Linked DNA regions of Styela clava. The protein of the gene in region 1 interacts with the protein of each later gene in a biochemical or structural test. Links are inferred from orthologs where the notes say so. Each region holds a gene or a part of one and is shown in the gene's direction. Other genes may lie near its edges. The genes, in order: NEDD8-conjugating enzyme Ubc12-like and NEDD8-activating enzyme E1 regulatory subunit-like.

Region 1 (17,144 bases):
AGACCAATCGACCAGCCATGTTTCGGTGAACTTGTTTTAAGGACTGTTTCGAGCATTCAATGGGACAAATCGATTAATCGGCGCCATTGATGAAAGACTAAAATGTTTTTCCTCCGATGTTCTGCTCGATGCAGAGTTGAATGCGTGATTAATTCTGGTCGGATCGTATTATCGATTTAGTTTGCGCAATTAGTGTTTTAAAGGTTTTAAAAATTTCACGGTTACATCTGACAGAAAGTCAATGTTCATAGGTGGTCTGAATATAAAATTGTTCGAGTTTGCCATTTCTTCAGTCACGCAGAATGTTAAGCCTTAGGACGCTGGGCCCGTATATTGAACAAGGAAACATTATAATGACTCTGAAATCTTGCGTCGTCAAATAACACATAATCTTCAATCGAACTGATGGATACTTCTAGTATGTCCTCTAATAGGAAAGTATGATTTCCCACAACCAATTAAGAAAACGTAATTCGGTAATATAAATCAGTGTATGAAAACGATGCCATTCAGTCGTATGGTACACGCGATACCTCCAATCATAACATGTCAGACGCAAAATAAATAATCAGCGGCGGTCTACCGCGATGGGCTGAATAGAATATCGAAGGACCGTGTCCGATTTGGAGTGTATCGTTATATTAATAAACGAGGCGATGAGTGTTGAATTACTCCTGTATTGGACGTTCGAAATGTTTGACGACATGCGCACGTGCCGTTCGAGAGGTTTTCAAACCTACTTGTTTCATTAGACTATTATGTACCTATTACGTCAGAATGCTTTGAATGGTTAACTCCTACAGATAACTTTCAAAATGGAAGAAATAATATTAGTTTAAAAAGAAGATGTTTTCTAAAATAATATTAGCAAAAATAGCTCACGTCACGACGTAACTTTACGCGGGCTCACTTTCTAGACGTGAGTTCGAAATTTGAAGAAGTAGGCCCGTATTGCCCCCCCCCCCCCTCCACACACACACACACACACTAAAAAAACGAATGGACTCAAAAATAGGATGACAACGATGGGCGCTTTAAATTTATATGCTAACGATCTCCTTATAGTCGAAATAAACTCTCCGACAGGATAATTATACATTCTCGACGCATGCAAAGCAGCTTTACATTATTGTTTAATAAAAGTTTCAATTTCCTTATTAGCGGAAGGAAGATGTCAATGTGGCAAAACCTGTCAGAAGTTTTTTTTTGCAATAATAGGTTACATGACTGTTGTGTCAGGAGTTTTTGTTTGACTGCGCATTGGATTTGCTGTTTCTGCTTTTAGCGCGTGACTGCAAAAACATGCAAAGTGAAAATTGCAGGTTCTATGTAACAATGGTGCTAACTTGAGCCCACGATAACGCTTAAGTTCAAGCGCTCAAAGAATATCAAAGTCGACGCTGCATCTGGGTGTAGGTCAACAGAGAGTGTTAGCTCAATGTTGCAGACTGTTCTGAAAGTTGTTTACTAAGTCAATTATAAATCGCAAAAGCTGCTACTTGTTACAGATTATAAGTAAAAGTGCAATAATGCAAGGCATATTTGTTTGGCATGGTGTTATAGGGAGAGAATGACCCTATCTGCGCGTTCACTTGCGTGTTATTTAACACACGTTTAATAGAGTGTAACTCCATTCTGAAATCCTCAAAAGTAAATGAGCACACAATGTATTGAATGCCAAATGTTCCTATATTGAAATACACCAGGGGTCTCTAACTCAAAATATGTCGCGCGCCACTTGTAGGAATTTACTGACGACGCGGGCTGCAAACTAACAAATTATATACAAAATTGTTATACCAAAATTAACAAAGTAAATCTGAATATATAATATTTGTTGAAATTACCCTTGAATCTCACACCAAACGAGACATGAAACATATTCGTTTACTTGTTTTGGATATTTGGCACCGTTTAGTAGCGTCGAGAGACTCGATGTTTGGCCTTATTTTGCGTTGGTTTGCTGGTCTTTGTACAGAGGTCTACAGTGTTAACTTCAACTCATAATCGCGTGATGGTGACTTCAGTCATACCCTCCATGCCAATGAAGTTTCAGAGCTGTAATTTGTTGTGTTCTTTTTTTCATGCCATGATAATTTCCGATAGAAATCTTTTCATCGCGACAAATTCTGATACAGATATTGGTGGTTTGTACAACTATACCATAAACAAAAAACTTCGTTTAAAAAGAGTTTTTTTGATAGATCGAAACAAAACAGGTATTTTCTCAACAAACTGTTGTGAAAATAAGATACCTCAGTAAATGGACTTCTTTCGAAAGCGCATGGTTGCACGAAGCGTCAATCAACATGTATACGTTCAAGTCACATAAATGTGCTATGGCACCATGAAATTTTTTTCAAATTGCGCAAAATATGAAATTTTAGTTATAGGCAACATACGTACGCACAAGTATATTAGATAATAGATTGAATTTAATTTTAAAATAATTAAAAAACTCAAGGCTGCAGTAAAACGTCATGGCACCAGAAAACCGACGTATTAATACCTGTTTCTAGGTGCGAGAGCTGAAGGTCAGCCCAATTACTGATAAAAAAAAATATTATTCATGAATAAAATTATCTTTCCATCTTTTGAAATGAACGGATTTACGATTAAGATCCCAAGTATTTTTTTTATATTGAAACAAGACTTCACAATTTAAAAAAAACTTCAAAATGAAGAATAGTTTAGAATTGAATGTCGAGGCCCATGGGCTTCAGCCTACCTCGCTTAATGGTAAGTCCGATAAATCATGCATGTTATAATAGTCAATACATTATTTGTGCAGTACCACGTCCAAATAACAAACACAAATAACAAACACAAATGTCATTAGTTTTTAAAATATTTCCGAAGTATTCAGAATCAATCAGTTTGAAAATCGCAGCTGGAAATAATCCTTAAATTAAATATATTTATATTTCTGCCCGGTAACAATCGAATCTTTGAATATTCGATTAGTACGATGAAATTAATATAAATAAAAGTAATAGCCTTTTAGCGATAAAAACAATTTTAGTCATTGAAAATTTGAAAGTAAATGATTCAGTAGCTAATTAGAAAAGCGATTTGTAATAATAAATAAAAAACGAAATACTAACAGCAAGGACAAGACCAACAACAATATAATCATACTAATTACTCATAAACAAAAATAAAAAACGATCCATATGTACATTTCGTGTCCAGATATGCGAAAAATAAGTTTTGACATATTATTTTCATAATTTATTTTGCAGAAAAGGCACCTTATCTTTATATTTTTCATATAGTAAAGTGAATCAGGTTCGTATCCTTGTAGTGGGGAAATGTTCTTGAATTCAAATATTTTTAAAAGAAGGGTGTTGATCTCGCTCGTAGAAAATACAAAGATTTTTGCTTTAAGGTGGATCTCCAAACAAACCATTCAATTCAAGAATATTTTTCGAAAAAATCTTTTTTTTAAACAAGTCAACCATTTTTTTCAACTTTGATTCTTTTAAATGTTGAAGAACCTTATGACAAATTTCTGTACTCGAACTCGAACCACCAACAAAATTCGATCTAACTTGGGCCTCTCGACCAGTTCCCATTTCATGTTGGGTATTTGTTTCAGCTGCATGATTTGAATCATACAGAAGCCGTAACTAACCGTGTGCACCCACTTTCGACGGTTAGAAGTCCAGCAATGAGCAATCCCCCTCAACCTAATTAGCCTCAACGGTGATGGAACAAGATACGAGTTTCACTTTTATCATTAGGAAAGAGTGGTCGATAAGATGACTTAATCATATGACGAACCAAGATTTCTCGTATGTCACCGGTCACAGCCCATATCGGGGATGGAAATATTTACTGAACATTAGTTCCAGGTTTAAAATCTATGGACTGGATTGTGTGGTAAGCTGTACCCGGCAAGTGGTTACGTAGCACCATACAACGGCGAAGAGTCCAGGGATTCTCTTGAACATAATTATTCTCATAGTGTTGGGCATAGGATAGGATTTACATATCTATCCCGAGGGAGAGGAAAGTGTTTATATATAGTGCTCAATCATATGACGTACAACGGCCTCTCGTCCGGTTACCAGTCCATGTCGGGTAATTAGCTATTTATTTTTTCCAGATGTCTGTTAGTATTTTATGTTTGACTTTTTCTCAGTATTATTTGATGTTAGACTCACTCGATACGCTGATCGCGTAATAATTTATTGTTGTAATGAAATACAGTTTGTTTGTCTCTTTCATTTCTCTCGCAAGTGCCGACAATAACATTATTGAATGATTTTGGCAATAGGATAATCATATTTAATTGTAACAAAAATGAATTAGGTTGTGAAAAAGTGAGAATACGTGCGATAATAATAATGGCGTAAGGTGGAACGGCGAGCAAAACCGAAGCGCGTGATCGGCGGTGCGTTTGGAGACCACGTATTACCCGTGCGGCCGCGCAACTTTTAAAATAATGTGAGGTGCTCCGAAGACGCTCTCGTTTACCTTAATGTAAGAAAACAGTTGTAATATCGGTAGCTAGAAACCATTTGTTCGAGTTAGACTATGACACTTTTTATGAGTAGAAAATGTTCGTATTTTGTGATAGGTGTGCCGCAACCAATGACATTTAACAACATGATGCGCAACTCCGGCATTTTTGTCCGAAGATCGTATTCGATAGCACGCTCCAATGCACATACTTGACGAGACGAAAACGAGCGGATGTGTGCTGCTTTCAAGGCGTAGCACAAATGGTGTTCGTGCCTGCTTTGACAGTTGTTGTCGATTTTAATGATATTTTGGAAAATTGAAGGTAAAAAGAAATCGGAAAAAGGTAAGGTAAATACTATTGTTGTATATCACACCCGGACATAGCACTGTTAAGTACATGTGGGAAAGCCAGCTTTTGTCAAATACTACGAAGTTATCAAATCAATACGGTACGTAGTTGCCCATTTGCCGAAATTGCGTATTTACTTACCCTTTATGGTTTCAAATAGTTCATGCACCTCCATTTAGATTTTTCTAATCAGTGTAGAAATATATACTCATTGCTGTAGCATACTATTGCTCATTCACTTTTATTTGCGTATTGAATCAAAGGGTTAACAAGTTCACCTAACATTTTAATCATACCGGTCTATATTGTATAGTATGATCTCTCAAGTATTTGGAGCCACGAATGCTTGTAATTTTCTGACTAAACCCTTTTATTAGTTGATTTATATACCAAATTCAATAAAACATTTTTTACATTAAACATGAGATATTGGATTTATTAGCTTTTCCATTCTAAGTCATATTGACTGCTTTATTTATTCTTAACGAAAATTAATAAATCTCCTCTCTTTCTTCAGATGTGAAAGTTGTGGACAAACCTGTCTAAGCATTGTGAGACTCCTGTAGCACAAGAGGCAATAGCAAAAATAGTAAGTATATCAATCAAAAAATTAAGCCGACATAAAGCAAAACTTTCAACTATTCGTCTAATCTCAATTTCCTATTATTTATTCACAGGACAACTGTAGCAGAAGGGGAGATATCAGAAGTCTGGCGACATATCAGTGACAGTGTGATTCCAAGAAATATAATTAGAATACTCCATAAATGTTTGCAATAGAAGAACAACCTATGAAGGCATGCAAAAGCATTTGACCCTCCGGTAGAGTTGTGTATGGCCCCTACATCCTGCAAGGCTTGAGGAAAATAACTAAAAATTCCAATGCGTAAGATTGCATAAGCGGTCTTCTTTGTGAAAAAGCACAAAACATGCCAGGCATACTTAAAACAGCTTTGAAAAATGAGGATTACGGGTCACTACACCTATGCTATATTTGGTTCATCAATTTTTGGTAGTACTATAGAAAAAATTCAGGAAAGGGTATAATCATGATTCATGATAAAATACTGGTATATATTTTGGACAACTTCAATCTAGACCAAACTCGCGGCCCCAGAGAACTTCCAGTGCGGCCTCGAAAGCTTAACAATAATTGTAAAAGTATTTTGGAAGTTTTTTTTATCTAAATGTAACAGCTTTTTCAAACTTTTTTAAGTGAAATTGAATATTCACACAGAAAACAATTTACTAAAAGTAGTTTTAAAAAATTAATTTTTTTTGTTCACATTTTGACCCATTTAAGAATACACATCAAGCTAGCAAAATAATACTTGAATAAAACACTTGAGTTATTAAATTGAACGCAAAGTACATGAAGAAGGTGGCATTTTCGAAGAAAATGGGAGTTGCAATATTTCTGCATTTCACAAAATTCTCTGAAGCACATTGTTTAATTTGTCATATTTCCACCAGTACAATGAAAAACACAATAAGCTCAGCAGTCAATATGGCAAATTCGAAGACCAACTTCGAACAGAAAATTTCCATGTGTTTGTATATTAATATAATTATACAACTTTTTTGTTACTAAATATCAATAATAATTCAAGCAATCCTATGCCATGCAATGTGGCGCGAAATGTCTTGTCGAAAAAATCTGTCATTTGTTTTTTTACTGATCTATACATGAAATGATAAAAGTAACTTTTTTGCATTACTGGAATTAATTAAACATTTGCAAAGATCCAGATTAACCCATGATCATGTGACCTCGTTAGTTAGAGTTGGTACTATAAAATTATTTCATCCTGGCTTTAGTATGCTGGTGACACAAAAAAGATGCCAAACGTCAGGACAAATGTAATTAAAAAACATTGAGTTTATATTGTAGTATTTTTGTTAATTTTAGGTCCATATATTTAGATTAAGTCATTTTTTTAGTGTATGTATTATTCTTTCCTTATCCAAAGCTTGTTCAAAAATGATTTTGATGGTTGTACATAGAATTTTATGATTTTTTGTAATAAATACAGTAACTTGCAATAATAGTGGAATGCAAATATTAACATGAAATTGCATTTGAAATTAAAGAAAATAATAAAACTTAATCCAACTGTTTAGTTGCATCCTAATATATGTCACAAACTAAAACTATCTTGAAAATATCTTTCAAGTATACATTATCAAAAACTGTTTGCGGCACTTTTTACAATTTCCAACATGCAATGCGGCTCTCGAAAACCCATGAGTTTGACACCACTGATCTATTCTAGACAATTCAAGCATTTCTTTGGGAAATATTATAACTTCAAATAAATTGAAAATAATCTTGCCGTATTAAATACGAAATCGTTGCTATCATAAAGATAAACCAATTCAGCCACTGGAAATATATTGGCCTTCACAAAGCAATGGAGGCAAAATTAAGAGTTCATGAGCTATGAACTTTTGTTCTTTTCTTTGTCTTAAACTTTTCATACTCCACAGCCCCTATTAATTTTTTTTTTAATTTCAATTACCATGTGATGGTAATACATATCTTTAACTTGTATTTTCTGTAATGATGTATTATCTCAATGTGTCAAACTTTTAATTAGTGTGCATATTTTGCTTCCAGATGACATAAATGTATTGTCCTGTTTATTACCTCAGCTTGGAGTATTGACAAGAAAAAGGTGCCAGTAAATTCTTTGTTATAATCAGAATTCACAATTAATAGGAATTATAAACAGCCACCAATCAATGAGAATTACATGCGAAATCCCTCACAATAAATTTGTCTAATAATGTCTAATAAATTCACCTACTAAAGCAAGTTCGATAGGTGCAAACTTTGTGTTATGGAATTGTATCACAGCACCGTTGGGAGAAGTAAAAACAGTTTTGCTGTTTTGTATGACACCCTCTTTAAATGAAATTTCAATGTTTACGCGTAAACATTAAAATTACTAACTTTGAACTTTGTCATTATCTGCAAAATGTCCCACACAAATCTTTACTCTATCGCGTTTGTAATCTTCTCTGATAAAAAAAAAAGTCTATGATGTCCAGAATTACTCTTTACAGCTTGTATGTCATTCCAGCTTTCAAAGTGAGCAAAACTTCTTAGATATAGAGATTATTTTCTTTCGTTACAGGCGCAAAAAGGCAGGTACTAAACGTAAAGAGGACGCCGATTAGCAAAAGCAAGCGGAAAACGGTCGCGAAAGGCGACGAGAAATATGTGCATTGGAGCGTATCATGAAATACAATCTTTCGCATGTAGTCTTATGGAGTGACGTCAGAGTTGCCTATCATGTTGTTTAATGTCATTGGCCGCAACTATTTAAATAGCACTGCCCTAGATGCTCTAATATTTCTGCGTCGATATTACATGAGATAAATACGTGATTTTATTGTCATGCAAGTCGTTTGAATTTTTTACTTAATTCCGAAAAATCACGGGATTATACGGCTCAATCCCGGGATATCCCGATACCGTGATTTCAAGAACTGGCTCCGAAATCCCAACCCTAGTGGTGCATAGAGTCTTGTTTAGTGTAACTAAAGTTTAAGTTGTTTGTTGTTGTTAAAATATCTATATTTTATATTACTGAATACCGTACTAAATTCGTAATAAATTTTTGGTAGTGTTTTTTCTAGTTACCCGAAGTTGTCATAACGTCATATGCCATTCTCAATCATTTCGATATATATACACACCACTATCTGAAAGGAGAAGTTACTTCTTTGTTTATTCCCTACGATCGCTTTGTCGAGATTGACCATTTTAGCCTGGGTGTTGTCTTTGGTCAAGATTTGTCTCAGACAGTTTTGGGGCCATAATTTGAAGCCGGAAGAAAATCAGTGAGATATGAACCAATAACATTTGTGGGAAGAGAATTGAGAGCGTGTATGGGTGTAGACTGTGCAGTTGAAAATTTTTGATCAGAACAGAAAAACACGAAGAAAATGATAAAATTATTTTCACTAAAACAGCAAAAGAAAAATGACGAAGCATCGGGGGCTTCATCTGGTAGAAGAAAAGCTTCAGCGGCTCAACTTCGAATTACTAAGGATTTAAATGAACTGCAGTTACCACCTACATGTAGTACTATTTTCCCTGATCCCAATGATTTACTGAATTTCAAGCTTATCATTGCCCCTGATGAGGGGTTTTACAAAAATGGTAAATTCACTTTTACATTTAAAGTTGGGCAAGGTTACCCTCATGATGCCCCAAAAGTAAAATGTGAAACCATGGTTTACCATCCTAACATTGACCTTGAAGGAAATGTTTGTTTGAATATTCTCAGAGAAGATTGGAAACCTGTTCTTACCATTAACTCTGTCATTTATGGGCTTCAATATCTTTTTCTTGAGCCCAACCCTGATGACCCTTTAAACAAAGAAGCAGCGGAGATGCTAACAAAAAACAGACGTGCATTTGAACAGAATGTATACAAATCAATGAGGGGTGGTTACGTTGGGAGCACATATTTTGAGCGATGTTTAAAATGATTTTTTTGCAATGTTGATATGTATTTGATATCATTTTGATGCCTTTATAATGATAGTTTATTTATATAGGCTATTTGGTAAGTTTTACCATTGACACAGAATAAATGGACTAAGGTTGCTTTTGACGACTCGAATAAAATACTGGCTATTTTGTAAGACATCTTTTATTTCACCATACGTTTTATATTTATTTTGCATAATTCTGGTTACTCTAAGTGGGCTTTTGTGTAGAAAATTCAGACAATGTTTTATTATAGAATTGATTGAAATTTTATCTTTCCAATGAAAACAAATTCATATCTACATTTGGTCAACTTTTAAAAATAACTTTCTGTCTATCGAATGACATAATTTCCAACGATTTTCGAAATTCAACTTATCTATATGCTCTGAAATAATCTGTTGAAATTTTTGAAACACCTTATAAATCTATTCTTAACATTTAACATAACACAATGACGAAAAATGCATTTAATTTCTTATTTCATCCATATCATTTAAATATCTATCAATATGCATTGTGGTATTTGATTTACAGTCACAATCTTAAAAATTTAATTTTGTTGCTTGAGCTTTCTAATAATGTTTTGTATGAAAATGCTACCTGTGCAGCTTTATACCATCGGAATTTTAATCCAGAATTTAAGATGTGATTAATACTGATTGAAAATATACTAAAATTTAACCAATGAGTAACTGTTAAGTTGTCCTCAAACATATCTAATTTTTCAAATCAATTTTAATATGGTGATTTTTTTTTGTTCATTAAAATTTGTGAAGATGATTGGTTGATAAAAAATAACCCAACAACTGTATCACTGATATTAGTATGTCTATATCTGAAACACATTTCTATTTTGATTATTTCAAAAAATTCATTCATGTGGCAAAAACATGCTATAAAGCCAGTTTTTCGATCAAAATATCCTACACAGATATTAAAATCAAAATATTTTGACAAGGGATTTGTTATCCTTTATAGCAATATTAAAATAATGTTCTTTAAAAATTCCTCTTTTCAATATGATGAGACAAGTGTCCAAAATATTGGTATTGGCCATGGTTTTATTTTCTGTTATTTATGTTAAGACGCATAATCAGAATCAGTATGATTGTTTTGAACCATGCTAGAATACTTCCCAAGTTCATTATTTTTGGTCAGTCAATGATTTTGTTCAAAATCATTTTAATCTTTGATAAATATCTTATCTGCTGCTGATAATCATTGCAGATGAGGGTCCATGTTTTTGTCACTGATAAATATTTGAGGTTGAAAAATGTAGCAGGTGTCTAACTTTGTGCTATGTGCTCAAATGTGGTTATGTAGGCTACCTCAAAGCTGATGAGCAGAATATTCCCTAACTTAATAAAATAATAAAACTCTGGCATTTTTGTGTTGTATTGACTATCTGCTTTTTTAATGAGGTGAAATACCTGTTTGTGACAAAATTACATTCTTATATGGAAGCGTGATATAATAGCATAGGAACCTTTCCCCCATTACGCAATAAATTCCAATTGCTTCTCAAAATTTTGTTTATATTCTGATGAATTGCTCTCTATACCACACCTATGAGCATATTATATGTGACTGCATGTCTCTTTGTATTTTATTTCAATTCACATTGCTTATTGAAAATAAATAAAATACTAGACCAATCCAATCAAGAACAAAATGGAAAATACTTCAAGAGAGCTTTTTTTTGGATAAAGCCGGAGAAAAGTAAAGCACTAATTTGTTACGACTGTATTCTTTTTAATATCAATTTTGCAAAATTACTAATCACTTTTTTTGCCCAATCTGATCGAAACATTTAGCTTATATCAAGCTACAGTTTTAAGCCATCGTTTTAAGTTTTGTCTTATGTTTCTATAATCAATTCATGATTTTTAGGAATACGGTAGTTCAAAATAGTTTTACATTAAAATTATCATTTTGGGCATTTGGCAGCTTGTATTCGAATAAGCTTTAATAGAATCTGAAATTAAACAAACTCATAATTTAGTTAGTCATAATTTTTCTGCACCATAAAGTTCTATCAAATCAAAGAGAGACTATATACATTATGCAATATTTCAAAATATTTTTGAAATTGCGATTTTTCAGTTTTAGCCATCATTTTAACACATCGATTTTATTATTGTGAATTTATTTGTTTCTAGGTGCAATGTCTGGAAAGAAGAAAAAGACTGTCACTACAAATCCAAAGTCATCAATTTTGAATTACTTCTCATCACAATGTAAAGACAGTGCCAATGAAGACACTTCATCTAAAAGAATCGCAAATATAAATGGGAATAATAATAAACGAAAGCTCAAATCTAGAAACACCTTTAGTAACACAAACAAGAAGCCAAAAATTTTGAACACTGAACTAATAATTATTTCATCTGATGACAGTGCTGATGAAAACATTGATGTCAGACTGAATGAAAAAAGTAAAAAATCAGTTGCCACAATTTCTAAAAGAAAAGGCAGAAATAATGATGATAAATCTTTATCCCCTCAAAAGATTGTTCCAGAAATAGTCAATCATGAATTCATTCAAAAAAATAAAATTGCAAATTCTATATCTGACGTTTCGCCACACCACGATGATGAAAAAATTTCTGACTTAAATTTATGTATTTTAAAGACCGACACAAAGCCAATAATAGATGATTCAAAAATCACCGGAATTCTGCCAAATGCGAACACATCTGAGGCTGATGCATTATCTGCTGAAGACTCATCTTCCCTAAATGAAGATAAGGAAGAGAAAATAGCGTACTATCTTTTAAATTTCCGACAAATTTTGGACACTGTCTTAGGAAATGAAGATGATCGCTCCATATTTGAAGGATCTGATGACATTTCGTGGATTGATAAATTTAATAAACTACCTCTTCAAGCTCAGAAACTTTATGTCAGATTATATCATCGTAAAGTAGCTTGGCTTAGATTAGAGCAGGTACGTATGCTAAAATATAAATATGAAGAAATATAATTCTCTATTTTAATAGTAGATAGATAGTTCACTCCTATTGAGACTGTGAATCTAATCATCAAATTTAATGTAATTCAATCCAATGTATGTTCATGCTTTTACTGTGCGTTTGGGGCTCCCGAAGTATGCGAACCAAGATGGCGGACATCTGAATGTAATATGTGTACTAGGTTAGGGTTAGGCCATAATTTTAGCTATAAATACTACGGGAGGCTCTTGGCTAGTCTTCGAACTGATAATAGGACTAAAATAAGGAAAATTGGAAAAAAATTATCGCCTAACCCTAACTTGTTACCCATGTTACGTTCCGATGTCCGCCATCTTGGTTCGCATACTTCGGGAGCACCGTGCGTTTTATATAATATTGTTTGAATACAAAAAAAACTATCGGGTCTGCTGTAGCTTTAGTTCGTTTTGCATTATGTAAAAAAAAATGAGAGAATTAGATTTGAATGTATTTGGGTACTTGCTTACCGAATGAAGATGGAAACCTTCATATGATGACCAAATTTTCACTAGAGATAATTTAGAAAAGTATAAAGTTAATAACTTTCCCGGAGAGGCTTTCATTCATGGCTACTAAAATATTAAAGCTTCTAATTTCAGTTGTTTGGAAAAGCTACACTGGCAACAATACTATCAACAACACAAGTTTAGCAAAATGATCGATCGAAAGGGCCATCTTTGTTAGCACTTTTTTGTTAGTAGTATGGGCTGTAATCCCACAATATTACCAATATATAATCTAATGATTGACTAATTATTCTAGAAGCATTTCCCCTGTATTATTCTAAATTGAATGAAATACATTTACTGTTCATTCTATACAGATTAACTATCCTGATATATCAAGCAATATTCATCGAGTATTGAAGAAATTGGCAGACGAAGGATTTTTATTGTGGTTTGATCAAAATAATAACAATGATTTGAGTTTGTCTGATGTTCTCAAGCTTCTACCTGCACCTAGTCTCAAAGATCTTGCCAAGTCTTTCAAACTAAATGTAAGTATTTTATACTTTGTTTTCGAAAGGTTTTGGAGGTATAAATGGTTAGCAAACTAAAGTAAAATTACTTGAATTTTCATCATTATTGTGTCATGGGACTTTTCGACACTCAATGTTCTTGAGAAGCTTGTTCGTACAAAGATGAGTTTTCGACAACACATGGTAATACACTCATATCATTCTCATAAGAGTATATTTAGGTGTGCAGTTTTGTTTCCTGTGGAGACGTTTGTCACTGTTTATTAAAGGGCCACAACTTTTGAGGGCCCCTGGGCACTAAAAAAAATTGGGTATATTGTTTCGGAGTTATGTTCAAAATTGTGAAACAGTGGTCAAAAGGTATCTATTTTCACTGCCAAGAAATGTTTGTAACGTTACATGAACTATTCCAAATTGATGATGCAAATAAAAATTGGGAAAATTTCATTCAAAGAAAATTCTCAATAATTTATCCTCTTATTTCAATTTGTGTAAATATTAGTGTTTCAAATTCCAGGCCAATGGCAAACAGAAAGTTCAGATCCAAAATGAACTTGAAGACATGTGTAGAAAACAACAAAGTGTGCTTGGTGGATTTTTTAAAAATAAAAAAGCTCAGGCGAAAGGGACTCACCAGAAAAAGTCAGGCTTGGGTAGCAACGTCATGAAAAGAGCTAGCAGATTGCTCGGACCTTGTTATAAAGTTGCTTCATATCCAAGAACAGTGTTTAACAGGTAAACTCCAGTTTACTATACATTGTATTATGTACAAAAAATGCTCGACTCCTTTGAGTCCGTGCCACACAGCGTGATTCATATGATCGTTGGTTAGTTATGGCCTCATCCGCTTTCTGAGATCAGGCCATTTTTGCCGTTTGCTGCAGATAACTACCGATATGCTAAATCCCTTTATCTTGTTTATTTCAACACTGAAATGAATTGAATTCTGGGCAAATACAAAATTTATCTGTTTATTTATCCATTTTCCACAATGAATTCGACTATAGGCAGAAGAAAAAAGTATGTTAGAAAGAATATTATTAAAAGAAAAAGATGAATCAATCATATGGGATCCATGCATGACATGGCCTCTTGTCCAGTCATCAGGACCAAAGGGCCAAAATCTTTTCGGTTCAGCCTCACCAACCCGATTTATTACACCCTGGATGGGGTAGTGGGCAAGGGATTTAGGATTTAAACCTAGTATTTTTAGCTTGCGATGCCAACATAGCAAGTCCAAGAATTTAATCATTAGGCAATTGGGTACTCCCGAAGTATGTGTACCAGGTTAGGGTTAGGCTATATAAGTTTATTTCGTTTTTCCTCATTTTAGTTCTTTTAGTTCGGGGACTGTCTGTGTTAGCCAAGTGAATATCCCTCTGCCCCATAGGCTTCAGTCCCTTTACACAACTTATAATAGGCGAATAAAATTAGTTACTTCCAAATTGGTACACATACTTCTGGAGCGCCGGCCATTGTGCCTTTAATTTCAGATAATTCCTAAACATTGATGAATATAGGTCGATGTAATCACCGAGAATCTTTGTTTGTTTTGCTTTCTATTTGTTAAAATAAAATTCTAGTCAAATTTTTAATATTTGTTCATTAGCTTAGCATTTCATAATTGTTGTTTACTTACCGTACTTTCAAGGGTACTTCTGGTATTTGACGTAACACGTGGAATTGATGATGAAACTGAATGCTCATTAACTGGTTCTCAAAACGCTATGGGGCAGGGAAGACACTTGCAATTGTCTGCTATTTTGATGGCAGGTAAGATTTACATATATGTGTTGATTTGCTTGTTAATTGTAGATGTTGTGGAAATATTTATTTTCTCCACTGGTAGTTGACCAACCAATTACAAATTTTCAATACTTGAGAAGTTGAGATAGATGGTTTTTAAGCATTTATAAAGACTATCATTTTAAAAGACTTGTTTTTTCCAGAATTACTTTCATGGGACCTATAATCATATGGGTCCTGTTATTTCACCCCAAATTTTACTCTTTTATATTAAACCAATGGTAATACTTTAATAATATAACATGTGAGAACACTTTTTCTGATTTTTCACTTTCCTGTCCATTTGTCATATTATGTCAACATTTTCTTACTATTGGACATACTGTTGTGAATATTTTATATTGTTATTATTCTTCTGCTACCGGTAAATACGTACAATGACTAAAATATAATTGAAATTGTTTACAGACATTTAAACCATAGACGTTACAAAACTAATGTTTAAAGGTCACATCATCATAAAACGTATTTATGATAAAAACCATTTCAACCAATATGACATTTATAAATATTTTTAATAAGATGCTTTTCTCAATATACATTCTGATAATTATTAGCAATGCTATTCATGAAATATTGCCTTTTCAGGCATGGGAAGGGTGTCATACCCATCATGCGTTGTGGATCGTCCTACACCGATATTCAGCAGGAGAAAAGACCTTTTACATTATGAGACGGCATTTCAATTTCAAACTGATATTTTAAGCTGTGTGGAGACAGGAAATTGGCAGGTATTTTAGATTTTATTTTAATTGAATTATATTGTATGAAAGATACTCCTCTTCTTGTGGAAAATTAATTATAAACTCACGGTTATTGTTTTTTTTCATATAAAGTGCAAACACAATAATGAACCTAGGTTATGTATAGCGCATTCCAAGGTACAACAGTACCAATGGTTCTTGCTAAAACATAATCGGTGGTTTACAATGACGGTTGAACTCATTTCGTGAAATTCAGGGTTTGCAGTGGTTCAACCAAGGATGTGTAGTCGCAGCCAGGCGTGTTTTAAATGGTATTGGAGTATTTTTAAATTCTCTGTTTTCGAAGATGGAATTCCAAAAATTTAATGGCAATACCCAAATTCAAATTTTTAGACGCAAAAAACATGAGTGGACTGAGCATTCCTAACAGACAAATAAAGAAAGTGCCAAAGTGTTCGTTATTAAAATTGTAAGCTGGCCACGAAGTCATATTGTTCTGTAACTTGGAGTTGTTTGGAACTTGAATTTTTACCAACTATAAGGGTCGGAAGTCAAGAGTTCGAAATCGGAAATCGTGTGTAAATTTTACTAGATACTTAAATGCAGATAATCGCTCATTGATTGGCAATCTTTTAATCAATTATTGCTGGCTTGGGCTGTTACATAGATCGCTTATGTACCCACAAAATTGGCTTGTGTGCTGTGATTGGACTAAATAAGTCATGTGGACTGCGAATATAACTCGCTAAGTACTGTAGTTGTAGTTGAAGCTCCTACTGAGGTGAAAATTTGACTTTCTAAGGAATTACTAAACTAAGGTCTCAATCTGATGTACCCCCTGGAAGGTCAAAATGTACCCTAATGGGTATTGACTGATTCTTATACTGTACCCCTTGGAAAGTCAAAATGTACCTCTGGGGGTACATGTACCCTAGTTTGGGAACCCCGGATCCAACTCAAATAAATTGTAGATTTTTATTTTTAGAAAATCCATAAAACAAACAAGAAAAAGCTCTGATTGTCTTTTTCCAGGGGGCTGCTGCATTATGTGACTCTGCTCACTCTGTTCACATAGACATCAAAGAAAATGATAAAGAATCTTTAAAACATTCTGAAAATCTACCTCAATTCTTACGTTGTTTTACTGCGCAATGGACATACACACGTTTGAGGTCATTGGAGGTGAGATGAGTCCTCATTAATGCTGATTTAGGTAATCCATACAAATATACTATTTTTGCCCATACAAGTAGGTAGTTGATGTTAAGCAAGAAAGATACTTGTTGTTTTAAACCTAGTATCCAGTTTCTTATGACCAACTTGTGGGCGCTCCAGAAGTGTGTGT
Region 2 (17,561 bases), on another chromosome or scaffold:
ACCTAAATTCCCAAATTAGTTTCACTCTGATTGTAGGCTTTGATCATGTTTATCGCCGACGTAAAATAAAAAGTCAACAATATCTTTGCTCCTGGCTCCGGGACACGTTGTTCTTTTATGTTTGTATTTTTGTGTATGTTATGTTTGCGTTAAATAACAATTTGGAAATATCGTCACTGCGTATCCGTAAATAATTCTGATAAAATTGACCTAAATGGCAATTTTACCAATCAAATTAGTATATATATTTGTCCAGAAGTCTTTGTAATGTTTCCTCATTAAATACTTGTATTGAAGTTTCAAATTTTACGAAACGGCCCACTAAAATTTGATGTTTTCGCGACATTGGCGCACATTACGCTCAAATATCATAGCCACTGAAAATAAATAAATAAAAACACCATGACTCAAATATAAGACTCAATTTTGACGTCTTTGTTTGTTAGTGAAAACTGTGTGCAGATTCTCGTGTGGCCGTCAGAAATCCACAAGTGCGTTGTGTAATGATTGATTTTTTGAATGAGCGACTCGCGAATGTCATGTCCACGCCCCATGTTAACAGATATTCTAATAGTAAACTGCTGATATTCGAATATTTTGCCAGCACTAATCAGTAACCAGAAAATATTTATTAACTTGATTGATTTTATGTTACCGTAATATATTTGCCTTTTATATATTATGTAAATTCTAACGAAATCGGGACTTGGCTAGTATTAAAGTTTGTTACAAACGTTTGCGGCCCGCAACGAATTTCGTTATGTGAAAGTGGCCCACGAGACGAAAAAGGTTGGGCAGGCCTGGACTATGGTATACCTTTTATTTTTTTTGCGAGAATGAATCTTGACTATTCTAGAGTGGTTACCTGCAAAATGCCTGTGGTAGCTCCCCAACACCATATAGTGGCCATAAGAATGCACTATTTCCATAGCGACCAAGAGAATTCAAGAATTTTTGAGTTGCCTTAAGTCCTTCTACAGTATTTGTATTCTCATCAACCATTGATATTGAATGCAATATGAAATGTTGTAGTTTTTTGCTGAGTTTTTTCGCAGCAAGAAATTCAATAAATTTTTTATCCTCAAATTCTGAAAAACAAGGATTAAATATCAAAAGTTTATTTATAAACCAATTCAAATATTTCAAAGTACCGTATATACCTGCATATTCTTCAGGGTGGCTTTCATAATTCGCACACATAGTTAATACTCTCATTAACATTCGTTTTTCAATCATGGTAACAAATCTAGAATAATATTATTAAAACAATATCAAATGTTTTTGAGGTACGGTACATAATTATTCATACCTAAAACACAAATTAAACAAGTCATAATCCAAAAGCATCATCAGCCTATGGCTGTAATCAGCCTATACCAAGATCATAGCAAATAACATTCTTATGATGAAACTGAGATAGGAAAATTGAAGTACGTAGCGAAGCAAGGTCTTTTCCTAGTATGATCCGATATGACAATAGCTATAATTGCAAAGTTTAATAAATTTATTTTAACAGATTATATTCCAATTTGTGCACTCAATACCAAATTTTGGAAGGCCTGTCAAACAGGAGATTATTGCACCATAATGATAGAATATAGTTAGACTCCTTACTTGCTTGTAAACACATCTGTCCGAGAGCATGGAACTGGAGCTAATTTTGGAAGAGTATTCTCACCATTATTGAGTAAAGTTAAAGTTCTTGTAACATTCCGAAATTCGAGATATCGACTAACATTAGATGTAATAAGTAAATCAACCAATTTCCCTCTTGAAAACATCAACTGTATTAGAGGATAGAATAATAATGAAATTCAGATCAGTAACCACCTGCTAAAATTTCCTCTTCTTATAGAATAGAAAAAGTTTGTTGAAATTATGGAGAGAGAGAGATTTTATCCTCACAGAACAACACTTTCTATATTGAATACAAATTTTCAGCTTGTTTCATAATATTGTTTTGTCGGGGTTAGTTTGCTAGACCGACAATGGTCATCAATGCTGCTAACCCATTCCATTGAGTCGAAAAATGTTAAGCAATGACAAAAGGAAGAACTGAGTCAGCAATAATTCAGAGACAACAAAATCTCATTGTATTGAGGTCACGTTGAGTCAGGCCCAAATAATTATGAGAACACACATTCAAAAACAAAAAATTCTTGGCACAGTTTGGAATACTTCCTCTGAACCCTACACCCATTCCATCACCAATATAGGAGGCAGCCAGACTATGCCGAAATAGAATAATTCAAATAGTTTCAGCTTCCTCATTAAATACTGGTGTTTGCCTGGAAGCTTGTTTAAAAATAGTTATTGATAATTACCTAAAAAAAGGGTACTCCAGAAGCATGTGCACCAAGATGGCTGACACCGGAACGCCGTATGTGTAGCAGGTTAAGGTTGGGCCATAATTTTAGGTACAAATACAACAAAAGTCACTTGGCTAGTCACCGATCACGTAAGAGAACTAAAATAAGGAAGATTGAAATAAAATTATGGCCTGACCCGAACCAGGTACACATACGACGTTCCGGTGTCCGCCATCTTGGTGCACATACTTCTGGAGCGCCAAAATAAGTAGTCATGGGAAGCATTAAGGTTTAATTTTTTCGAGAAGGTCAATAATTCAAATCAATACTCTGGTACTAAAGTCCACTAACCTTTGGAGCTAGATCCAAGTTATAATGTCTCCATTTTGAATAAAAATATTCTTTCGAGTTATCATCAATAATAGATTTAGAATTATCCTGTTTTGCTAAATTTTTTAAAATTCCACTACTCTCTCCAATTTTTTCTACGGCTTCTTCACTGTTTTTTAGTTCTTCATTTTTAGTTTCAGTCTGCAGAAAGTTTAGTAAATTTTGGAAAAATTAAAAAAAAAATAAATAAACTTGAAAATTAAAATACATTGTTTTTATTAATATCAGAACCTAAATATTTGGCAAGATATAACAGTGAATATTGTCAAATCAGATATCTGGAATTAAATCATAGTCCGACCAAGGAGGAGCTATGCCAAGCTAGTAGGCTCCCCTTCTGAAACACTCATAAATAATAATCTCTGGTCTAGTATGAAATATCCCAACATTACTTCCTGTTTGTCAGCACCATTATCCATTGTTTCTAAGTCTTCCATTTGTTTTTGATCAATTTGCTGTATTGTCTCAATATCCTCTGACACTGGACTTCTTTGAGCATGTTGAGTAAAGCTTTGATCATTCCCTTCGCCAGAGACATCTTTGCTTTTCGAATTTACATCAGATTTTAGTTCGTCTGCTAGTGGAAGATCTTGGTCCAATTGACTACTTGGTTTAGGGACATCACTGTGAAATAATTTGAACATTATTAATAACAGTTTTTAACGAGTTTTAACTAGAGCTCGACCGATATCACTTTTTGACGCTAATACCGATATATCGGCCAAATGGCCGATAACCGATATCGCAATGCCGATATTAATATTAATCATATTTTGAGCCACGCTTTTATAATGCACCTTGTGAGTCTATAGTATGGACATATGTTAGGGGTATTGAAAAAATATAAATTGATATATTTTAAAGTGAATCGTGATAATGATCCTTCGATATTGTGATAGCATATGTGCAGTTACATGTGAAATTTTTAATAACTTTGTTTCCAGAGACTCTCAATACCTTATTTAGTCAATAATAATGGATTAAGTTTTTATTTTGTAATTTTCAGCAAAATGATAAACAACCATCAATATAGACAAAACTGTTACCCCATAAATTCAAAATTGGAATTTTGGGAGGTCACAAATTCCGAACTGACATTATTGCTTTGAGCTACCTGTTTCATGTTTCTATGATTACTAACTCACCAGCTTCCAATCGATTCTATTATAGAACCACCGTTTAATGCTGTTACTAAATTTGCCTTTTTCTCATTGTGTACTCTCTCAAAAATGTCACTTTATAAAATGTCATTGTTACTCCAGATATAACTTTTCAGTTATGACCATGCATGAAATGGCTAATCATAAGACACCGGGAATTAGGAGAGACACCCTTATAACGCAAAATGAAAGCGAGAGAAATATACGCAGGGGCGAGAGCTGTTGCAGCACGCAGCCCGGCGCTTGCCGAGTATGACCGATATATATCGGCGGTATACGGCCGATATGATATATCGGCAAACACGCAATATCGGCCCGATATATCGGTCGAGCTCCAGTTTTAACTGATACTGATCGAAGAAAACACTCCAAGCATATTATTAAGCCAATATTTTGTGTCATCTATTTTATGACCCCTATTAGTAAATACCCAGTTTCAAAGTATATTCCCATGTCTTCAATGACTATCCCATCATTATCATGATTTTGCATTCATGGATCATCGATTTTATGATCATTTATAGAGTCACATCAAAACCTTCAACTCTCACTCAGTTGTCTAGCAGGAAATGAATGAAAATTGACTTGAAGATGCTTGATAACAAGAATAAATGATGGCATGATGAGTAAATGGTGACTAACTTATGGTGAATAAACTTACGGTAGATAACATTTCACTACTCCTTGTTGAGTGGTTTTACGAATATTTCCTACAATTACTAATTCTTCAGTTTCATTGTTTATTTCCTGTGAAATCTCATTCACTGAGACTCTGGCATCATCTGTTTGATAACAAGATAAAGTTGAAAAAGAGTTTCTATTTTACATGCACAATATTTTACAAGTTTCGACCGGATGACCGGATGAGACTTAATTAAATGTGGAACAAAATTTATATCAGCCTCATCCATTTCATCACACAAAGTAGTTTGCTATCTTTCAAATAGTAAATTATACTCACCATCTCTTTCTTCAATCCAAGCTTCAAATGCTCGTAGATTAAATGAAGACCAATTACTTCCATAGTATTTATTTTGATCCAGATGAAGAACTTTCTTCCCAATACGCGACAGTGCTCCTGATAATATCGATTCTGAAAGACCTGAGGTAATAAAAGCGTAAATTTACCATGTCGTGATGGCCGATAAGAACAATTGAACCTTCTGCAATGGCGATTCAGATAACAATATTACTGTAATAGGGCTGGCAAAACTTGCTTAACATAATTGAGGGATAAAAAGTAAAATTGTACATACAACAAAGGAACTTAATGTTGCTGAACTATTTACATTCCAGTTGATCAACTCATCATGCAGTCATGTTAAAGCAGTAATGGTATCACAAACTGGAGAAACGTTCTCAAGTTAAATAGAATATTTTGAAGGATTTCAGTATAAGACAAACTTGATATTAATTCATCTGTTATAACACGCAGTTAGTTGCACTTCCAAACTATATATAGGCAATATATACGCCTATATATATGATAACGGGATTATGGTTTACCTTACCAAAAATTATAATATAAAGCAAAAAGGGGACATATAAATGAATTGGTGTATGGCATTCGTTTGGAGTTATAGGCAACTTCGTTGGAATAAGGCCCAATGACACTAAAGTGTGTGTCTGCCTACTCGTCCTGCAAAGGTATATATAGCTGTATAGACAAGATTGCAATGTTAACAATGCTGAAGACCATTTGCATTGCATTGGACGATACTAGCCTAAAAGTGTGTGGCAGAAATGCAGAAAGGATTTGACCTTGTCCTAATTGAATACAGAATAAGTGAATATTTTATTTAGAAGCACTACTGCACTACGATAAAAATATTTTGTTGACCAGGGAGAATTGAGAATGAAACGTTGTGGTTTTGAAAATCTAAACTGTTTCAACATCCCGACATCGGGAGTCAATTGAAAACTTCATGCAAATCACATCTAACGTTGACGACTGATAGATCTCAATGTGTATTTTCATTAAATTTCTTGTACTCACCTGTCCCAACAACAATAATGTCGAAATCATTGGCAAGCTCTTCATTCATCATGTTTTACCCAAAAGAAAGGTTGGTAAACAAAATGGCATAAAGTTACCTATATTAGGATAACTTGAACCCCACAATTCAGCAATTCTACATGGGAGACGGAGGGTTAACCATCCATATATTTATGGAGTTTGATTTAGAAAAAAAAACGTAATGAATTCTGGAATTTAGGTGAGGGACTAACACAGTAATAACATAACATATTCTTCAATAACAAAACCAATCCCCACAATCAGACAATCAAATGTACAGGCAGCTAGCCTACATCAAAAGTCTGAAAGTGGGCTGGCGTCACTGAAATTGCGACTGCCGTATTGCAGTCGTTTCGTACCTGAACCGTCAATAAATACCGGTACTAACACCTGAATACCAACACCGTACTGCTACAACAACTTAAACAAAATGCAGCAATCCCGCTATGCGCTATGCCTGTATGCCCAAATTGAATATTTGGCTAGGGAGAGAGAAATATTTAATATGTATGTTTCCCCGAGCATCGATTTTCTTGTTTATTTTTTCTGTAACAATGGCCAATCAGCAAAAAGTAAAGGATGACGTAACTTTTTTCGGAGATGTTGTACCGTAAATATATACTACTACGGTAGTAGTATATATTTACGGTTGTACCCAGATAATCAGTATTTTTGCCATTGACATACACAGGCAGCAGAATGAGCACTTCAGCAGAAAACTGGGTGGATAGTTGAAGCTTGAATATTTTACGCAGCGTATACAATATATGTATACGTATCTGTCTCCTATGCCTAGGAGTTGATTTGTAACATACAGTATTCTAGACTAGAGAGAGAGAGAGAGAGTTTATTCAAATAAACAGATGTTTTCGGTATATGACTGGGAAGCAACGATACGACCTTTGGCGGTCGTCAAAGTCAGTTACCACCCAAACTTGGGGAGAGAGAGAGACTTAGAGAAGGAGAGAGAGATACTTGGGGAGACTTAGAGATAGATAGATAATGATTTATTTCCGATACAAGTACATAATACAATAAGCATGAGCAAATAACAATAAGCATAAAAATGTATACGGAAGGGGACGGGCAAGACTTCCAAGGTCAACAAGGTCGACCGACCCCTAAGGTAAGATTCTACCAAGACAGGACACTCTAAAGCAGGCATTATAATTACAATAGAAGAAATATAAATTTTTGAGTTTTAAGCCCGGTTGAGAGGCCCCAGAAATCAATTCCCCGAAAGTATTGGAATAGGAATAAAAATTACAAGGAACAAGAACATCACATGCTTACGCAGATTATGTTTTTAATAGTAATTGAAAATGCGAGAAAGAATAAGAAGGGCGTCGGGCTAATTACAATTATTTATACTTTATGTTGGACACGAATCAAATCGTGAGAATGAGGCAATTTCTATGAATAGGTGAAAAATTAAAAATACCATACTTCCCAAGCTATATAGTACATATAATTATTACTTCAGACTATATATAATAGTATCTTCAATAATTTTCACAAAGACATATGAAGAATCCATATATAAGATTGTGAATTCCTATCCATTTTATAAATCTGATAGCATACACTGAGATTTGCATGATATTGCATCATATTATGATCCGCTGAAATGCTGTTTTAATTTGCAAATAGGGTGGTATCAATCAAAGATTGAAAATTACAAGAAAAAAGAACATCGCATGATTATGCAGGTTATACTTTTTTTAATAGTAAATAAAATGCGAAAAGAAGTGAAAAATTAAGAAGGGCGTAAGCCTAATTATAATTTCCTCAAATTTAATTTTACTTTATGTTCGACAAAAATCAAATAGTGAGAATGAGGCAGTTATTATGAATGGGTGAAAAATTTAAAATACCATATTTCCAAAGCTATATAGTACATATGAACATGAACATGTACATATGAGAGAACACAACTTGGATCCTTATCGTTATTATGATAGTGCTTTGGAGAGTTGGCGCTTACAAACTTGTTCACATGTCTAAAATCATCATTTTTTCTTCATTGAAACAATCAACGACGTGCCTCTTATAGGTTCTGGTAGCTAATTCTAGTCTAGTTGGATTGGAAATTGTTACGGAAGTTAACAGGAAAATCGGGGAAACATCAATACCGTAGTAACTACGAAGTAATTATTAGTTGTATAGTTCAGCTGACTCAACATATATTAAACGGGAACATATCGTACGTATTATAGTTTTTGAATTGTTTGTATTGTCAGATTGTGAAGTTTTAAAAATAAACTACCGGTATCTATCTATTTATAACCTTTGAACTTTATACAAGGGAATTCCCCATATGTTGTCATCTTGTTTACAGATGCATGTTGTGTGTAAAAATATTCGAACTGGTTTTCTGAAGTCTGGATCCAAATGCACTAGCGATGGATAAGCAGCAGAAGTATGATCGTCAGTTACGATTGTGGGGTGACCATGGTCAGAGATCATTAGAAAACGCTAAGGTCTGCCTCATCAATGTTACAGCCACTGGAACTGAAATACTGAAAAACATGGTTTTACCAGGTTTGACTATTCAACCTTGAACTTAAATTACGAATTTACGGAATTTTACAGCGGTCTTACTACTGGTACTGAATACAGCGCGAAACACCACAAAGAGCGCAAAACAGCGCAAAACAGAGGGAAACAGCGCAAAACAGTGTGGAAACAGCGCGAAAGAGCGCAAAACAGAGGGAAACAGTGTGAAGCAGAAAAAAATTTTGCAATGAGTTCGGGGCACCTTGTTTTGAGTTGGAGTACCACGGCAGCAAATTAAAAACACAAACCAACGTATATATTCAGGCTGTGCGACATATTGCTGCACATACTTGTGGAGCACCAAAAAAGTAGATAAAATTTCGCATGATGACCTATAATCCGGTACATAACCTTGTAAATATGCCGGAAATAGCGCCATAAAACCATGGCGAGAGGCGCCGTGGTTCTTTCGTGGCAGAAGGTGGTAATGACTGCGTCTCCTGTTTTGCGCTGTTTCCCTCTGTTTTGCGCTGGTTTCCTTCTGTTTCGCGCTGTTTTCCTCTCTTTTGCGCTGTTTCGTGCTATTTTGCGCTGTTTCGCGCGCTTTTGCGCTGTTTCGCGCGCTTTTGCGCTGTTTCGCGCTGTTTTGCGCTCTTTGCGGTGTTTCGCGCTGTACCGTATTCAGTAAGTAGTAAGACCCATTTTACAGTGTTGTAGAATTTAGATGTCTCGTGTAGTTTCGTACCTAACGTACTTCTAGTGGGCGTAGCATAACAATTTTTTGATATGTCAATCCTAACCCCCATCTGACTACGCCATCCAAAAATTAAAACACTACGACATCACAATCACGTTATAGAGCTTGCCAAATATACGCACGATCGACCGAAATGGCATTGGCGCCGACGATAAGGAACTGACTGACGTTATCGATCTCTCTACTATTGAAATCGATGCGACGAGAAAACGAGAGAAATAACTGTTCGATTTCGGGTGCTCGTTTGCGCGTCTTGGATGGCAGTTCGTGTAGTTTGAAGGGCTCTATTACGTCACTGTGACGTCGTAATGACGTAATTTTTGGATGGTGTAGTCAGGTGGGGGTTAGGATTGATATGTGAAAAAATTGTCATGCTACGCCCACTGGAAGTATGTTAGGTACGAAACTACATGAGACTCGAATTTAGTTGGTTCCTTAATGTTTAAATGCAACAAAACCAAAAACTATCTTTTAATTTTTTTTCAAATCGACAACTATTGTCAGTCTGGGTTTCATGGCCTTTTTCATGAGGAATGGGGTGTGCAATTAGTGACTGGGGCACGCCAAACGCCTGAGCCTGCGTGCAAACTTACCGAAATGTGTGAAATAGGCTTGCACGTAATTGACAAAAATCAATTCCGTAATTACGGCCAAATCGATTACGTAATGACCCCGTAATTGCGATATTTTTTTCACACATTTAAACCTAGCATACCAACCAATTTAATCCACTTCTATTCCGAATGGGACATCGAAGTTTGGTTTTCATATTCCCGGCAGTACCACACGCCGGAGACAGATGTTAAAGACAAATATCAAGGAGTGAATTCAAAATAATTTTATTCTGATTTTTATCTTTTGTATTAGCTTTGATTTTCCTTTATCAACTTTATCACCAAATTTTATGCGATCAATTTTATCATTACCAACACTGGTAATATGTTTAAGAAACGATAGTTCACTTTTTTAAAATCGTATTGACGTATTAATACGACTTTCGTATTGAATAAAAATTCCGGGTTGCTAATTTATTAATCAACTACAAGCGTATTCTCTCGTTTGATTATACTTTCGCTTGCCTCGCGACGAAGACTTGTTATTTCACCGTTTTTTACAATATCCGACTTTACTACTTAGTTAGCATTTTATAATAATTATTGATGCCGACTTATTGACGATATTCCGAATTCCATGCTTCATTTTACATTAAATCATTTCGCGGCCTAAATGTTATAACATTATTTACGATAAATTTAGATCAAATATTAATTATTTGCGCATTATTTAAAATACCGTACTTATATGACATGCCTTCTCCGAAAATACAAAGTTATATCGCAAAACAATGCATTTTGTGACATTTATTTTGCACTCATGAAAATATTAATTTATTTTTCTAACTCAAGTCGACAATCCTATTTGCCAAGATTGACACAAGTTTGGTCGAGTGCCGGTGGTATTCAGGTCGACGATAAATCAAAATAAGTTGCCGCATTTGGTAAAGACAGGTAATCATATTTGGCCGACATATTGCGATTTGCGAGGCATTGTGAAAAACATATTGAGCAATGCCAAGTCCGGACAGATATATAACGATAAAACCGGTAACAGAACATCAAGATTTTGTAATAGAAAATGGATTTCGCGCAGAATAAACACGGGAAATCCCGTCGTAATGTTGTTTCTCTGCCGTCTCAATCGCTTTACCGATGCCGAAAGGACTAAGTTGCGTTGGTTCATTACGCAATTTCTCTTCCGTCTCTTGCTGTTTGATAAGCGCGACATTAATTATCACGACATTTACAAATAGACCATGTTTTATAAGTTGATCTCTTACATTCTTCACTCATTTCACCCGAAGAAGTTGAAACCAGGTGTGTTGGCGTCCATCGGTCTCGACACAATTCTATTCCTTATTTACGGTTAATATGTACATTGGCCATCTTAGATAAGTTGATAATAGGTTTGTAAATGACGCATTATGCCCTCCCCATCTGCCTAACAAGAGAGAGAAAAACGGCTGCGAATACCGGAACTCTAACTTCTTTTACTTAAACTTTTAATTTTTTACAATCGACGGAATTGCCTGCTCTGAAGAGAGCTCGTTTCAATCGCGAAAGCGCTCGACCAATAATTACGACTTTACGTAATTCGTGACTTCGCTTGCGTAAATCGAAATAATTCCGTAATTCCGTAAATTTGTAAATTACGTGCAAGCCTAGTGTGAAAACCTAGATTATTAGCGTGTAGCTGACAGAATGAATAGAACCTATTAGCACTGTTTATTGGTGGCTGTTTCATTCCACCACCCTTCACGTTATGTCAGATATAAAGATGAGCAATCACGAATTTTCCGACTTGTAAAATGGATTTCGGTTGCGTGCGTTTTTCAGTTAGTTTTTTACCCAAGAAAAAATACTGATGTCCGCATCTAATACATACTCTTTAGTCATCAACTACTGATACCTGTGATAGCTACCTTTTCATTCTTGTATTACTGATATCCAGGGATGGCCAATTCGAATAAAGTATTCGAATGTATTCGAATATCTCGTCATTCGAATATCGGAATTCACGTTCATAAGAATATCGGATATTTGTGTGACGTCACACATTTTCGACGCCGCTTTCAAGACGTTTCCGTTGAATGAAAACATTCTCGATAGAAACTTGCGCGTGATTGTTTTCATCACTCATCAGCGTAACGTGTTATTTAGGCCCGTAAACGCCTTTACGATTGTGTTATTTACTCTAAAACGAAAATTTTCCACAAATTTGTTCCACGATAACGATAACATTTATTCTATTTTTGTACGCGCACGGAATTGTGAATCTGGTAAATACGTTCATCGGCGGCGAGTTTCTAAAGACAACGCAACTTTTTGATTGAAAAGCGGCAATTTAGAATACTGAAAATAAAACCGTAAACAATATAAGTTTTATTGAGGCCCGCGAAAATTTAAAAAACTCTTTTCTAGGCAGTGAAAATCGCAAAATTTCGTGTGCCTCTGGCACACATGTTTGGTCGGCGTTTAGAAACATATCGTCACTAATTGAGGGCGGGATTTGCCTGATTATCCATTACTTTAAATTGCCGTCGAATATTTTCATGTTAACACGATACAAGGTTTGAAACGCGACTTTTTCCCGGGTTGTGAGGATGTATATAATATAATTAATCTAAAGTTTATTCAATCAATTTTATTGTGATGAAATAAATTTTACTCTGAGATATTACAGCATATTTATGGATTTCTCGAACAGTTTTATCTAAAAATAATCAGAGTGGCAGCATTTCGATCGAGCGGAGTCACTGTTAACAAGTACATCTAAATATTTGACGAATTCGCAAAATACGGATCAAAACAATATTTAATCGGACAGTTTACCTCACGTTTTTATTTTTATGACCGCGGATTGCAATGGTATATAAGAGTGGTGAGGATTTTATTTTGTTGACGCAACCGCAGGTTAAATTGAAGACAATTAAATTAATAAAGCAAGACATTTTAAATATGCCCGTGTCGGACACGAATTCATCACTTTGCACAACAGAAAAATATATATTCGATGTTATATTATTTGTTGTTAAAAGTCGAGGTGGCATAATCGCGGCGATGAATATTTTTTTTTAATTTACTGCTAAACTTTATATGTATATTCATTGTATGAAATGAATTATACTCTACACTTAGGATTTTATATAATTATTTGAGATTTTTCTAACGGCGATAACGAGTTGGCAAGATTGCAAAAATACGTATTAAAATTAAATACATCAGGCAGTTTATCTCGTAATTTTAGGTCACAGATCGCCGTGGACCAAATAGTAATGTTTTTTTTTGGCGTAAGAAGAAGTAACCGTGAGTTACGTTGGACATATTAAATTAATATATAAAGATATTTTAGAATCTCGTAGTTGTCATGGATGGAATATTTTACGTAACAGAATGATCATTATACGCTGAAAAGACGGCGGTGGGTGTTACAGGCGGCAATGGGAATTTCCGATTTCGAAAATCCTGGCTGCGCGCTGGCAGTGGTGGTCAGCTATTCTCTACTAATTTATTTCTAATTCCAAACACAACATTATGTTACACATAATAACAATATACTGGTAGGTAGTAGAATACCTCAAATATTAGAATTTTTAGAGGCATAATGGATTTTCGATTGTTGTTGCCTGTATTGCCAATAAATTTTATTACTCTCAGAAAATATACACAATTATCTGAATACAAGTAGTATTTTTGTCAATAGACTTGACTATTATCGTAATATCATGGTACCAATGATAGAAAGCGTCAGACAACTCCTTGGCTATTATTTCATATGGTCATTTGTACAAAGTGAATAATGTTAATAAACTGACTGTGTCACAAGTTGCTATTATTTTTTATTGATAGCTATAAACTATCAATTACTTTGTGTACATATACTGTTGGTTTGTGGCTTCATTCTGATATTTCTATTGAAGCTTATTTCCTAATTTACTGGGTTTTAATCAACTAAAACAAAAATGTGTTATTTTCGATTTTAGAATGTATTCGGAATTCCAGATTCGAAAACATTATTTTAGAATGTATTCGGAATAGTTTAGTATTCGGAAATGGCCATCCCTGCTGATATCACTGTTTTAGTCAACTGCTATTGATACCATTCTATACCTGTATACTGATACCTGTGATATCTAACCTTTCAGTCATCTACTCCTAGTTAAACTAGTTATCTACTACGGATACTTTTTATTCATCTAATACCAATACCTGCTTTTGATACCTGTGATAGCTACCTAATCAGGAATTACCGTATTTCTCCGCGTATAATACGCACTTTCGTGGTCAAATTTAGTCTTCAGGGTAAGGGGATGCGGTGCGTATTATCCATTGGTATAGAAAATATCAGAAAAATATTAATTCTTATTTTATGCTTAACTAGCTCATAGTCATAATTGTCACATACATTAATCTTAAGTTCTGTTAGAATCAGATCATGCTTCATTTGGTAGAAGCGTAACCAGTTCCATGAAAATTTAGCGTTAGTAAAGAAAAATGCTGAACAGTCCATTAACTCAAGCGTAAGAATAAAAAGTGAACTAAAAGTGATAAGAACACGCTGTGCATACGCTAACTGGTGTCATTGTATCTTGTTTTTCTCGTTTCGCTGAATCAGCAAAACTTCACTGTCATAAATCACCATATGTCACTCAAATTAGTGACCAGGGTTTCTCTTTGAAGTGCGGTGTCTGAAAACACATTCTGACGTGAGGCCTTGTCAGTTTTTAAAAGGATGAGCGACAAATAACTTTACACAATACTTTAATGTCAAATAACATCACGTCATGATTGTCAGACCGTTTCACAGCAAATACATAGAGCATATTAATTCCGAGATATAGGTAACAGACTTAATGCCTGAAACGCTTCCCCAAAAACCACCTGCAACGCAAGAGAGGAACGGTAACTTGATATGTCTATTATGCATGGAGTTTGAAAAAATCTTGTAATTGCTGTAATAAAATCTAGGTGCGTATTATGCTAGGAGAAATATGGTAATACCTTTTATATCTATCTTTCAGTCAGATCCTCAGTTTACTTTGTAGATGAAAAATCTTCTTCCAATCCATATACCTGAAATCAATTATACTATAGATTTGGATTTACTTGGATATTCAACTAATTGAATTTGTATCTAAATTAGGTATTGGATCATTCACAATCATCGATAGTAAGTGTGTAACCGGAGAAGATGCTGGAAATAATTTTTTCTTGCACTCTGACAGAATTGGAGATTCAAGGGCTAAGGTAATTATTATATTATGTTGAAAGAAATTGATATTTCATAAATTTTCATATCAAGTGAGAAATGACTGCTTAATTATTCAATTACAATAAGAATATTCTGATTAGATTCATTTCTAACGAATATTATTAGGGGTGGATTTGATAATGTACCAACATTGCCAAGACTACTACCTGTGCCACTTGTACATTATATGCTGCTTATCTGTAGGATAAGGCCTCCTACCCTTTTTTTATTCTTCTCAATCCCATTTATGTATTGACAAACACTCGACTTAAGTGATGATAATTTAAAAAGTTGAATATTTTCTTCATTTCATTCAAGCAAAATTAATATCAGCCAGGGTTGTCCAAAACGAATCGAGTATTCGAATGTCAAAGTATTCGAATATCAAAGTATTCGAATACCTTTTCGGCTGATTTTCGAATAATTCCGAATAGTAGCCACTTTTCGTCGTAAACGTGGTGTTTCATTTTACGGGAATATTTAAACGACTTTTTACGCTGTCTCACGTAATGACGATGAAATAGAATCGGCACTTTGATTGTTTATATTCTGTGCGACCGTACGTCGCATAGTGTTGCGACACATTTGCACGTTTGCATGGGTGGACATTGCCGACATTCGTGTACGAGGCTTTTAATTTACGAATTCATTTCCATTACGTCGAAAAATTGAGAAAGTATGTTTATTTAATTTCTATGTGGCCTGCTTATTATCCGCATGAGTCTTCTCAAGCATGATTTGTGTAACCTTATATTTGGGTCTTAGGGTCTGCCAATCATGGTATTTAATCGTAGGCTGGTTATCGTTACTTTAAAAAAAGGTCCACCAAGATAAAGTGATTTGTGACCCTTTCGTTTTGCCGATTCAGCAAATCACGACAGGGACAGGAAAACAGCTGTGAAATAACCAGTGGACATACAGTGTAGTACTTATCACATTCCAAAATTATTTCAACATTCGGGTTAATAGGTTGTCCAAAATGATTGCCGCTTTACAACTTAAATTTACCGCTCAATTGTTAAAATTGTTAGTTAATTCTGTGAGTATGATTCTACCAAACTAACATGATCTGGTTCCAAACATATAAAATTATTAGCGAATTAATGCCAAATACAAAGGGTATTTGTGGACATGAAATACGTGGTAAACTGCCCAATTATAATTAATTTCGTATTCGTGTTTACAAAATAATAAAACTAATAATTCTAACATGCAATGGCGATCTGTGGCCTTCAAATGTGTGGTAAACTGCCCGATTTACCAACATTTGAGTTATGATAATAGAATTAAATTAACACGGTAAGGCATTTTAAGTAGTGGTATCGGTCATGGATTCGAATATTTTGCGCAGCACAAAATCATCCTAGTAAAAAGTCCATACTTTTAAATACAAACCAATGGCAAGTTGGCAACCATTATCCAAATTAGTTTCCAAGAGCGGGATAAAATATAAATTCTTTTTCCGACTCGTGACAATTTTTCGTGAGTACGAAAATAAGAATCAAAACTAATTATATTCGGCACAGTATCACGGCAATCTGTGGACATATATTGTGTGGCAAACTCGCAATTAATATTAATTTTTGATTCCGATTTTCGTATTTACAAAATACAATGGCGATCTGTGGACTTACAATGGGTGATAAACTACCAGATTATAAATAGTTTTTGATTCCTATTTTCATATTTATGAAATAATAAAAGTATTATTACTCAAACATACAACGGCGATCTGCGGGCTTGAAATGTGTGGTAAAGTTCCCAAATATAATTAATTTTTGATTAGTATTTTTGTACTCACGCTCGCTCTTCGACAAATAATTTGGATAATGGTTGGTATTTAAAAGTATGGGCGTTTTACTAGGATGATTTTGTGTTGCGCAAATATTCAAATCCATCATCGATACCACTATTGTCATATTAATTTAATTCTGTTAACATGACTCATGGTATATAAAATATATACTGCAATAATCTGCAAATATGAAATGCCTGGTAATATAGCTAGGTTGTAACTTGTAGATAGCAGTTATTCCATTGCTTATTGTATGGAAATTCCTACATACATTTAGGTAAGCTTCAATTAGTTGATTTTATTTTCGAAGTATTCGAAATTTCATATTCGAAAAAAATAATTTCGAATGTATTTGAAATTGTGAACTATTCGGTATTGGCCATCCCTGATATCAGCCCATCTTGCTTTTATCAGTACTAAATATGCTATATTTCTGGTTTTGCGTCAATTTGTCCTATTTTTCTATTTCTAGGTTGCCACTGAATTACTTTTGGAACTTAATCCTGATGTATCTGGAGAATATATGGATGAAACGATTGACCAATTGTTGGAGAATAATCCTAAGTTATTCTCTCATTTTACTGTTGTCATTGTTTCTGGTCTGATTCCAGAAGATACTTTGAAGAAACTTTCTTTGCTCCTTTGGGGGAAAAATATACCGCTTGTGTTGTGCAAATCATATGGATTTATAGGGTATGGTTCTATTAATTGTTAGAAACGTTTTCATTATTGATATAGAAATTTCATTTGCGTGAATTGTAGTTGGAGACAATTCTTTTAGCATGTTGTTAATAAAATTGGCTCAAAATCATACGCGAACGACCACTCC

What was found.
Region 2: of the proteins of NEDD8-conjugating enzyme Ubc12-like (region 1) and NEDD8-activating enzyme E1 regulatory subunit-like, one has a biochemical effect on the other in vitro, tested with the Homo sapiens proteins (4 studies listed by BioGRID, with this or other methods). The link is inferred for Styela clava from reciprocal best matches to the Homo sapiens genes UBE2M and NAE1.

What each region holds. Positions count from the first base shown.
Region 1 is NC_135261.1:7,726,072-7,743,215, reverse strand, and holds NEDD8-conjugating enzyme Ubc12-like, read left to right. Parts: upstream 1-8,402; 5' UTR 8,403-8,767; coding exon 8,768-9,316; 3' UTR 9,317-10,888; downstream 10,889-17,144. Other genes in the region: fanconi-associated nuclease 1-like, read left to right, coding at 10,889-11,039, 11,480-12,267, 13,134-13,307, 13,807-14,024, 14,941-15,062, 15,684-15,826, 16,832-16,981.
Region 2 is NC_135263.1:19,895,724-19,913,284, forward strand, and holds the start of NEDD8-activating enzyme E1 regulatory subunit-like, read left to right. Parts: upstream 1-8,161; 5' UTR 8,162-8,278; coding exon 8,279-8,417; intron 8,418-14,829; coding exon 14,830-14,933; intron 14,934-17,204; coding exon 17,205-17,425; intron 17,426-17,561. Other genes in the region: rab proteins geranylgeranyltransferase component A 2-like, read right to left, coding at 866-1,088, 1,161-1,246, 1,615-1,784, 2,661-2,840, 3,092-3,323, 4,521-4,641, 4,821-4,961, 5,856-5,907. UniProt on the Homo sapiens protein: Regulatory subunit of the dimeric UBA3-NAE1 E1 enzyme. E1 activates NEDD8 by first adenylating its C-terminal glycine residue with ATP, thereafter linking this residue to the side chain of the catalytic cysteine, yielding a NEDD8-UBA3 thioester and free AMP.